2 linked regions of the Arabidopsis thaliana genome follow. The protein of the gene in region 1 interacts with the protein of each later gene in a pairwise test. Each region holds a gene or a part of one and is shown in the gene's direction. Other genes may lie near its edges.

Region 1 (3,482 bases):
GCATACATAGGCACAGATATGTACCTTCCTCTGTATCAGTGTATTACAGATATATATGAGCCAGCTGTTTGTATATATATAATATATACATTGTTTTATAACCCGTAGGGACATATCTTGGTCAGGTGTTGGAATCAGACTCGGACCATTATACTTCGACGATAGAACTCTCTAAAGCTTATTTTAGGGTTTAGTTCAAACCCCACCTTTCATCTCCCTATCGGCTTTGTTTCACCGTAAGAGGTAAAAAAAAAACGAAATTTGAAAATATAAAAATATGAAATGAAGATATATTTATAACAAAGCACAACATTAATATTGTGCAAAGAGAGACATACACACAGATATTTATAAATGGCAAAGACCAGATAAAGCTGAAAAGATAGCATCACGCTCGTATTCTTTCTATTTTTTATTTTGATATCAATTTATATATTTTGTTGTACTAATTAATATAGGCCAGAGGGCTCTCGTTTCCTGCCATCTAACCCTACCCGTCCGATCGATCAAAATCTCTTTTTTTTTTTTCTTTTTCTCTCTAAAATGTTTTTTTTTACAAGAAGAAAATCATCTTTTTATTGATAATCATAAAACGAAAGATTTTTAAAGTTTTGTATAATGTTAGCCTTGTATATACATATTTAAACTTTGAAGAATAAAAAAAAAAGCCAAAAACAGAAAAGAGCTAGATCAATATACAAAGGAATAAGGAATGTTCAAAGTTTCAAGTTTCAGGCGTTGAATACGAACTTCAGAAATGTTCAAAATACCCTTATTGAAAAGCATGTACATACGCTACTCGAAAGGGTTAATATCGGAGAATCGGTTGAACAGATCAAACATTGTATGACAAGTGTTACGTAAGTCTTCTGTCAGGAAAACTAGATTTTTAAAAAAAAAATCAAAAATCAAAGGTAAAGCGATCCGACAACCACAATCCGACAAGATTATTTATCTTTTACGATTTCTCATGCAAAGATTTTTTTCCAGAAAAGAAATACATGAGTTTAAACACTAAAAGAAGTAACTTTCTTTTTCAGCTAGAGGGAGCATAACTGTACGGACTTCTCTTACTATATTCAATATACATATAAAATCTTCTCTTCCATCAATCCTTCGTTTTAAATCTCATTTTAAGATTTAATTTATTGTGGAGCTCAAACCTGAGACACACAAAAAAGGCATTTCGTGTATAAAGGACACAAGCGTGGAAGCCAAAAGCATGTCACAAACTACAAACTTTGTAAACTTTGAAGAAAAAAAAAAAAGGCTTTTTCTATATAAAATTGTTCAAATTTTAATATTGTTATAATTAAACCCATCCAAATTAATTCATGGGTGCTGTTCTTATAAAATATGTACACATCATAATTCTCGAGTCATAATTCTTTTTCTATATATATAAGGAGGATGCTATTAATCTGGATAAGAAACATAAGATTCTGACTCCTTAACAAATTATGATGTGATGATTACACATTTGCTGGATTGATGATTACTCGGTCGTATGGAATTATATATTTTACAGAGTAGAATGGAATAAAAGAAAAACCCTGCCAAAATCCATATTGTACAGATTGAGGGAGCTTATCTACGTGGAAATTATGGTTTCTTACTTTATGATCATGTATCTGAAAATACAAAGAAAGAAAAAGAGAGAATTAAGTGGTAAGAAAATTAATGGTGAGAGCGGTAAGAGCCGACAAGAAGGACAGACGGAGCCGTCTATTACCAACAACTCCCTTCTGATAAAAGCCTGTTCTTCAACTCTCCTTGCCTTTTTTTTTTTTTTTACAAAAAAATGAAATTATTCCGATAACTATTATCGGTGTTTGTTTTCAACAGCAATCACTATCTTGATGTCATCGGTTTTAATTCATATGTTTTGTTACTTTTTTTCTTTTTTTCATGGAGAAGTAAATAGAGGTCATGTTATTATACACAAATAATAAAGAAAGAAACAATAATACTAATAATTAGAGGAAAACAGAGTTAGACTCAGAGGTGTAGTAGGCCTCTATAAATACTCTGCATGGCTCTCACTCTCTTCTCACCAACAAACTTTAGCCAATCCCTCTTTCTCTCTTATTCGTGTTTAATCTAGTTTCTTTCCAAACAAAAGTGTAACAAGAGAAAGAGAAGAGATATCAAAGATGCAATACCAGACAGAATCGTGGGGATCATACAAGATGAGCAGCTTAGGATTCGGCGGTTTGGGGATGGTGGCTGACACTGGTCTGCTTCGTATAGAGTCCCTGGCTTCTGAGAGCGCGGTGGTGATCTTCAGCGTGAGCACGTGCTGCATGTGCCACGCCGTGAAGGGTCTCTTCAGAGGAATGGGCGTCAGCCCCGCCGTCCACGAGCTCGACCTCCACCCCTACGGCGGCGACATCCAGCGAGCCCTCATTCGTCTCCTCGGCTGCTCCGGCTCCTCTTCTCCAGGGTCTCTCCCGGTCGTCTTCATCGGCGGTAAACTGGTTGGAGCTATGGACAGAGTCATGGCTTCTCACATAAACGGCTCTCTCGTTCCTCTTCTCAAAGACGCCGGCGCTCTCTGGCTCTGATCCCTTCCTCTGCTTTCTTTTTTCTTTTCTATTTGAAGTTTTCTTGTAAGAGAATGTGGTGGAGGAAGATTAGGAAACTAGTCAATGGCTGTAATGACAGGTTTTAGATTATAGTTTGTAATTAGAGAGAGAGTTGTTTTAAGCTCACCTTTCTCTGTCTTCCTCTTCTTCATCTCTTATTGATCTTTCGAATGCTCTCATTAAATCATAATAGTAAACACTTTGCATCTTTATTAATGTCCCCTGGATCCATTAATCAACGGTATTAACTGACGCCGTATCTATTCAAAGGCAGTTCCTGTTATTTTGTTCACACAAATTTACACACAAGGGACTTGTTGAGAGGGGATCGCTACGATCAGCTTAAATGATGCCCTACTCTGTCTAACCTATACAAAGCACACACACACTCTATGACTATGAGTGAGATAGGTGAAGCTTGAAGCTACTTGGGTTTGAAGATGTTACTTAGCAAATACCCCATTGTAGTTGTTTCGTGCGAAGGCCTGCTTGTACCAAGAACAGAGCAATGCTCCTTCTCCTTCTTCTTCACCTTCAGCTTGCTTACTCCTATCTGTTGTCTGATTGACTCCACGATTTTTGATTCAACCGGGTTTCCAGTCACGTCTGTAACGTAGAACGTGTCTTTAGCCTTACCCTCTCGCGTTGATATCTCTGCTCTCACAATGGTTAAGCTGTTCTCTCGGAATGTTCTGGTTATGTCTGAGAGAAGACCAACTCGGTCTTCTGCTGATAATTCCAGCTCTAAACCCTGAAAGTATGTTTCATATGCACAATCTGTCTTGAGTATATCAGAAATCGATGCAGAACAGAATGTAATTTGAGCCAAGACAGAGAATTTTCACATTCCTAATTGGTTACCTCCGATGCTCTCCTCTCAATGGCTGCTTCCAGACA
Region 2 (8,158 bases), on another chromosome or scaffold:
ATTTGTTGCTGAACCTTTTGCACTTGCTTTTTCAGATAAGGGCTTCATGTTTTGCAAAAAGAAAACATATTAGGGAGATCAGAAATGCCAAAGTAGAGAGACTATAGGTAAAATCAAGTAGAAGCCAACTTACATTTCGTAATTAACATTCTGAATTATTATCTGAGCTGCCTCCCCAAGATAAATGTGATCTTTTTCAAACGCACGAACAATTGCTTCCCAAACACCCTAAAAGAGCATTATACAGCTGAGACAATGAACACAAACAAAAGTGCGAAACAGAGAGACAGTTTTCCTTACAGAAGCACCCGAAAGTCGACCAAAGATGTTGCGGCTTTCCGGAGTTGTCTTCAGGAGAATCTCATACACCTTTTTGACCTCCAAGTAACCGATCACTGGAAGCAAAACAACATTAAACTTGAATGAGAATACAACCAAGTAAGGCCCTCCTCCTAATCAATCATCAGACATAACCAAACAACAAACAAGCTTACGGTGTTCACAAAGATGCCAATAAAATCTCTTTGGCATTTTCAAACAAAATACTAACACTTTAAGTTATAAATGAGAGCAGTGAACCAAAACGCAATTTAAGACGAATTCGTTTTGAAGGTTTGAAAATTCGCCAAACTGATAAAAGAACAAAATTTGAAGAATTTAAAACCTTCAGGATCTAGGGTTTGAAAGAATGGATCGATCTCTTTAGGCAAAGAAGAGAACTCTTTTAAGATTTTGACTCTGATCACAGCAACCCTCTTCCTCCAATCCGCCGGAATTCTCTTCCGATCCACCAACCATTCTTCAAATTCAACAAAATTGAAATCAAATGAAGACAATAATCACCAACGCAGATTCGAATCCAACGAAGAAAACGAAAAAAAAAAACCAAAGAGATATAAAAATTTAAAATTCCGTGTACTCGTAATTGATAGTTCTGCATTACCTCCGAGACGAGAGAAGGTGATATCGATTGGAAGATTTTGAACATCATCTTGTGACGGCATTTTCTTCCGGTTAACCTTTCACGCTTTCTGGGAAATTTTATCTCCGAAGTCTCACACAGTTTAACGTTTTGGAGTCTCAAGAGTTTGCTACAGAAGAACGCATAATTTCATTGGTCTCATCAAATATCTCGAATCCGGTTATTGAACTAACCGAACCAATTTACTCCGGTCCGCGGCAGATTAAATTGTTTATTGGTTTTATATGGGTTGGTTGGATGGTCCATTACCGCGGTTAACATAAACTGGTCTATCTAGTAACGTCGGTTTTACCTTTACGGATTAGTCTACAGATTTTAAACTTTTTTTTCTTTACAAGTTAAAACTATTTTGAGGAAATTATTTGTATGAATATTTTGTGAATGATGGGAAAGAAATCAAAATTAGTTTACCAGCTCAATTTGATCAAACCAATTAGCTTAACAAAAACAAAACCTAGACCATATTAGTGCCCATTCAAACAAAGTACAATGGAACAGTTAGAGATACAAACAAAATTCAATCAATATATTTGACAATCTAAGTTCATAAATCACATAATAATGACTTTTAACTTGTTTCATATAATGTCTAGTGTTTATAGATTGAATGTAAGAGCGGTTAATGGATCATTAAAAATCGAATAAAAAATCTTATAATAATAATATAGATGATGGAATTGAAAAGTATATCTTAAAGTAAAAATCTAATAGCTGAATAATATATATAGGAGAAATATAATAATAATAATTTAGAGAACAAACAAAAAATATTTATACAAGTTTGTTATCAGCAATGTGACTAGAGAGAAGGAAGAAGAAGAGAGAGGGGATGGAAAAGGACATGTTCTTGACCGCTTTATCAGAATATTTTTCTTGGTTTCATACAAAAATAAAAACAAAGTCGTCTTCTAATATTTTAAGGTAGAAGAAACTTATACAACAAAAATATCAGAAAATAAAAAGGAGTTTGTCTTTAGGTTCTTCTCTCCAATCTCTATTTTTCTCTCCAATATCCTTCTTAAGTTTTTGAACCCTCTCCACTTCAATATAACCGACCTCTCTTCTCTCTTCTGAAAAAAACACCAAAGGAGCTTTAAATGCTCCGTTACATAATCTCTATCTCTTTCCAAGAATATAGAGAAAGGAAAATAATATACAAGAATTAAAAGAAGGTATATCATCATCTCTCTAGCTAGTGATCAAAGCACCGTCATCATCATCATATATCATCAGCTTGCCTCAGAGGAGAAGACCAACATAAGAGAGATCGAAGATCAAAATCTATCTCTCTTCATCATCTTCTGCTGTTACTATCATATCACACGCTCTCTCAAACATCATCCTATATATAGACTTCTCTTCATCATCATCAAATGCAAGGTCATCACCAGAATCATCATCAACACTTATCATCATCCTCCGCCACGTCTTCCCATGGAAACTTCATGTAATTTTTACTCACTTAATAACTTTTTGAATTGATTGATGATCCCCATGTTTTTAATAAGAGAGCTTTAATTTATGTGTGCAGGAACAAAGATGGGTATGATATTGGAGAGATAGACCCATCACTCTTCCTCTATCTTGATGGACAAGGACATCATGATCCTCCATCAACTGCTCCTTCTCCTTTACATCATCATCACACAACTCGTATGCACTCTCTCTCTCTCTCTTTTCTTTCTTTTTTGGGAATTGGGGTTTGTTTTTTTGGTTTCAGCAGATAAGGAAGATTCCCTTTAGGTGTGTGAGAGAGAGAGAGAGTCACAGCAAAAGCATGCCAAACAGATTTCAATCTTTCTTCTGCCATCAGTACTCTATTCTTTCAGCTTTGACCAGATCCTCTCTCTTTTCAGACACCAAATCTTTCAAATCCATATATCTTACACTTCTTTAAACCCTTTTCTCTCTCTGTCCTTTTTCTTCTAATTAGAAGAACTAGTCCGCTCACATATTTATATACATGACTTGTTATAACTAGACCATTTCTCATACATATGGTCACATGACTCATCTTATGGCAGAGAATTTGGCGATGAGACCTCCAACATCGACGCTCAACATCTTTCCATCTCAGCCTATGCACATAGAGCCACCTCCTTCTTCTACACACAATGTAATAATTATTACTATTACTTTATAAATTTCTATATATATATGCCAATTTTAGTTGGTTTCTGTTTCTAATTTAATATAATGTCAGCGCAACTACTAGCCATTTCATATAATATCAAGTCAGACCAATTATTATACGTTTCTTATTTTTCTATTGAGTAGTGATTTGATTGTTTTTTGGTTGTTTTATATAATGTGTTTGGTAAGACCGATAATACAAGATTAGTTCCGGCTGCTCAACCTAGTGGTTCCACTCGACCAGCTTCTGACCCGTCCATGGACTTGACCAATCATTCTCAGTTTCATCAACCTCCTCAAGGTTCTAAATCCATCAAGGTCTCTATCCATTTATGTTTTTTTAATCATTTAATTGCTTTGTCGAACTATAACTCGAGTATAGATATAGACTTGTTGTGGTTGTTTTTAGAAGTTAATGGGTCATATCTAAATGTTATGGCAGAAGGAAGGGAACCGCAAGGGTCTTGCCTCATCGGACCATGACATACCTAAATCGTCAGACCCTAAAGTGAGTGTATATTCATACAACTGCAGAAAATTAATAAGATTCTTTTTTTTTTTTTTTTTTTTACTTTTCGGTTTTTGATAGTTTCTTTATTAATTTAATTCTCAACAGACATTGAGAAGACTAGCACAAAACAGAGAAGCAGCAAGAAAAAGCAGATTACGTAAAAAGGTCAGCATTCAATATTTGTAAGTTGCAAATATAGTTTTTATATCCAAATTTATTTATAACGTTATTTGCTTTGGTAAATTACGACAGGCTTATGTTCAGCAACTCGAGTCATGTAGGATCAAACTGACCCAACTAGAACAAGAGATTCAACGGGCCAGATCCCAAGTAAATATTTGAACCTGTCTTTTCATATATATTGTATTTAACCTAAAGTCTAAAATGTACCAATTTAATTTGATTTCCTATATATGTTTAGGGCGTATTCTTTGGAGGGTCTCTTATAGGAGGAGATCAACAGCAAGGTGGACTACCCATTGGCCCTGGCAACATCAGCTCTGGTACGTTAATAGTTTCATAAATGTGATGACTCAAAAACCGTAAAATTTGAAAACCGAGAGAATGAGATATTGAGTAAATGCAATGTGAAGCAGAAGCAGCGGTGTTCGATATGGAATATGCGAGGTGGCTGGAGGAGCAGCAGAGGCTATTAAACGAACTAAGGGTGGCAACACAAGAACACTTGTCCGAGAACGAGCTTAGGATGTTTGTGGACACATGTTTAGCTCATTATGACCATTTGATTAACCTCAAGGCTATGGTCGCTAAGACCGATGTCTTCCACCTCATTTCTGGAGCATGGAAAACTCCAGCTGAACGTTGCTTCTTGTGGATGGGTGGTTTCCGTCCATCGGAGATCATTAAGGTACATCTCGTCTTTTCTTATAGCCATATACATATATTTAGGTTTTTCGAGAGATATTTACTTATTCTATTCGAGCCACATCCCACACAATAATTAGTCATGATGATATTGTAAACTAATCAAATATGGATTAATAAATCTAAATTTTGGAATTTTACTTGAAGACTAATCATTTTAAATTTTATCTTAGAACCTAAAATATTCCAGGATACAATCATTAATACCATCAATTTTGTGGATTACTTGCAGAACATATACTAATAATGACTGAAATTGTGACATTGTTATTATTTATATCGTACATATATGTCCACAGAATATAGTACTTCCAACTTTATTTTATTATTTAGATTTTTTTTTTTAATTTAGTCTTTGATTCTCGTAAAAGAGGTACGATATAGTAATAATAGATAAGACAGACAAGAGATAGACTATATAGTGATATTGTTGGACGAGGTATATATATACATAACATTGCATGGGGTGACTCTAGATGTATAAAACCAACATATATACGTGAATGTCTTTATATTACGACAATAATAAAGGTACACGTAAAATTATTTTGAAAACAAATTAAGAATGCATGCAATTGTGTGTGATGGTGAAGTATCTCTAGAAATAGGTAGGTTTTGGCATAATGCAAAAGAAAGTGCCTGTCTGTTTTTTCGATTTATGGGATCCATAGGAGAGAGAGATAGACATAAACCACCATGGAATTCAACAGAGACGACCATAATAAACAAACCAAAAATAAATAATTGTTTAACATTTTTAGCACGCTCGTCAATTGGATGATTATCATTTTTTTTCTTTTCTAAAATGGTTACGTAAAGCCATTTTAATTAAACCTACTTTTTATTCTAAACAATATGAGTACCTACGATAGCCGATTAATAATACAAATTAATATATGGATGGTGTGCATATCTGACAAGACCTTTGGCAATGTCTCAATCTTATATCCTTTTTAGTGAAAATAAAAAGGAAAGAAGAGATTTTGGGTGTAGCTAGTAACTCGTGCAGAGTACATACACTACACACTTTAATGCATTCAACGTTCTTTATGCATCCATTAAGACCATTGTTAATTAATCCTCGATATCTCAACTTGTGTGTATTAATTAGAAACGCATGCATGCAGGTGATTGTGAACCAGATAGAACCATTGACGGAGCAACAGATAGTTGGGATATGTGGGCTGCAACAGTCCACACAAGAGGCCGAGGAGGCTCTCTCGCAAGGCCTCGAGGCGTTGAATCAATCACTTTCCGATAGCATTGTCTCTGACTCCCTCCCGCCTGCCTCCGCACCACTTCCTCCTCATCTATCCAATTTCATGTCACACATGTCCTTAGCTCTCAACAAGCTCTCTGCTCTCGAGGGCTTCGTTCTCCAGGTACCCTTATAACTCTTTCTTTTTAAGTTTATGTGCAATTATATATCAATATACCAATCTTTTATCTTTATATAAAAATATACCTATAGAGTTGATATACAAGTGGACCCCTAGAGGATATATGTGGTCCTAATCAGACTAGGAATACATATTCTGTTTCTTTGAACTACTCCTTATTAAACTCAACTATCATATACTTATATATTTCTATATTTGGCTGTTATAACACGCTATCTAAATTTATATAGATGTTTGTATATATGTGTGTGTCTGTTTTGTGTACAACTCATATATAGGTATAACGTCGGCCATAATTTGTTAGAGGACATTTGTAATATATTAAGTGTATATAGAATAAAAGTGGTTGATTTTAAAGAAGATGTCAAAACTAATTCGCAAACTTAATAATTATGCATTAACATGTATATGTATATGAAATGGAAAGTATTTGCCTCTTGATTCGGACATTATGCAAGTAGGTATCTAACAAACACTTCTCTTGTCTTATATCAACTTGGTCGGGTTGCTTTTCTTAGACGACCAAGTTTATTAATTTAATATTTATTTCTTAATCATTTACTAGTTTAGGACAGGCAAGTTTTTGAAACAAAGAAATATATATATCTGCTTGTGTATATTAATGTATAAGTCTATACTCTATATGCAAATGGACATTTCGGCTAATTAATTCTATACAAGATACATGCATATACAAGTTGGCATCTTTCAATGATTTCTTAATATAATTAGTTCTAAATTGTTCCTGTTCCGCCTATAAAAAAAGTTTTTGTGTTTCGCTACACGGTTAGTCGCTCACAATTTGGAGAAAGATCCAACTTTAAAATAGGTGGTAAATGTGGGGTTAGTTACTAAAAAGGGGTAATGAATTCAATTTTCTCTAAACGCACGTGACAATTGGCACCATGAAAGTATGTATTAAGTATACATATTCCAATATATGTAGTCCAAAAGAAAAATACATATATTATGTATCTATAATATATCACATCAAATAAAAACATGGAATGCTTGGAGCCCATATCGTTGCATGATGTCATGGACGTAACTGCCCAAGTATCCCATCCTCCGAAAACACTTCCTTGAGAATAATTCCTTTACTTACATTTGATTCTGCATTTTTTTGTCTACTTTTATATCATTGATAATAGGTTGATTATATATGTATGATTCTAATTAATGATCAAAAGTATCATGAAGCATGGCGTGGGACCGAGGGTATGGAATTCACGGTTTCACCTTTTTGACATGTTGGTGTCGTGTTCTTATTAGTGAATTACTAACAAGCTTTGATTTTTTGATCGATCAACATGTTGAATAATCGGCATTAGTCGTCAATCAACCACATAATTTCGGGTCATGCACAATCATTATAATGCTTAATTAGTCCTTTATCTGTTTTTTTCCTCTCTAGTTAGTCTTTAATACTTATATTTATGAGATTAATGATGGTCCAATTCGATTATTTGTCCTTAATTGGTCTTAGTCAATAACATGTGCACTACTTTGTCCATCTTTTGTTTTGCTTTTACTATTTCTCCATTTTCCCTATAACTCTTATTTAGTTTTGAACTAGCTAATACATTAGAAACTTACAGGCGGATAATTTGAGGCACCAAACGATCCATAGGCTGAACCAATTGTTGACGACCCGTCAAGAAGCACGGTGTCTTCTAGCCGTTGCGGAGTACTTCCACCGTCTTCAAGCTCTAAGTTCTCTCTGGCTAGCCCGTCCTCGGCAAGATGGATAATACTAAAACAACTGATGAAGGAAACCAAAAACAAAAACAAGAGAATAGGTTGATTAGTTAGCCGCCAGCTTGACCTCTTTATCATATATATCGTCTCTCTACTCAAATACAGTGCAATTAGGGAAAATTGTTTGGCTTCTTTTTGTTATATGATTCTTACTATTATGTTTTTAATCAAGATGCAGATTATATATATAGACAAGTATTCCATACCTTTTAATGAATTCTTCCTTATGCAAATTCAAGTGAAAAATTATACTTGATCTTCAATTCCAAACACAAGAACATGAGAGAGTATTGAAAGGAAACAAAAATAGAAGGCTGGCAACAATTGCAGTTGCATGCAAGACTTATCACTTGTTAGGTCAAATTAAAGCATTGACCAGTGAGGAAGGTGACAAATGGTGAGTTCTGTAGGATACCGTCAGGGACTTGGGATCAGTACCGTTTTGCTTTGGGTTCAACGCCCTTCTCTCTCTCCTTTACTTTTCATTTC

What was found.
Region 2: the proteins of ROXY1 (region 1) and TGA10 interact in a two-hybrid assay, tested with the Arabidopsis thaliana proteins (one study listed by BioGRID).

The regions. Positions count from the first base shown.
Region 1 is NC_003074.8:331,594-335,075, reverse strand, and holds ROXY1 (Thioredoxin superfamily protein), read left to right. Parts: upstream 1-2,003; 5' UTR 2,004-2,153; coding exon 2,154-2,564; 3' UTR 2,565-2,801; downstream 2,802-3,482. Other genes in the region: ACR6 (ACT domain repeat 6), read right to left, coding at 3,010-3,336, 3,447-3,482. UniProt on the Arabidopsis thaliana protein: Has a glutathione-disulfide oxidoreductase activity in the presence of NADPH and glutathione reductase. Reduces low molecular weight disulfides and proteins.
Region 2 is NC_003076.8:2,118,556-2,126,713, forward strand, and holds TGA10 (bZIP transcription factor family protein), read left to right. Parts: upstream 1-1,916; 5' UTR 1,917-2,355; coding exon 2,356-2,429; intron 2,430-2,513; coding exon 2,514-2,635; intron 2,636-3,006; coding exon 3,007-3,098; intron 3,099-3,304; coding exon 3,305-3,433; intron 3,434-3,557; coding exon 3,558-3,623; intron 3,624-3,731; coding exon 3,732-3,791; intron 3,792-3,878; coding exon 3,879-3,956; intron 3,957-4,047; coding exon 4,048-4,129; intron 4,130-4,219; coding exon of another isoform or gene 4,220-4,222; coding exon 4,223-4,494; intron 4,495-5,638; coding exon 5,639-5,893; intron 5,894-7,509; coding exon 7,510-7,662; 3' UTR 7,663-7,902; downstream 7,903-8,158. Other genes in the region: AT5G06830 (uncharacterized protein), read right to left, coding at 1-42, 134-228, 301-395, 665-799, 944-1,004. UniProt on the Arabidopsis thaliana protein: Together with TGA9, basic leucine-zipper transcription factor required for anther development, probably via the activation of SPL expression in anthers and via the regulation of genes with functions in early and middle tapetal development.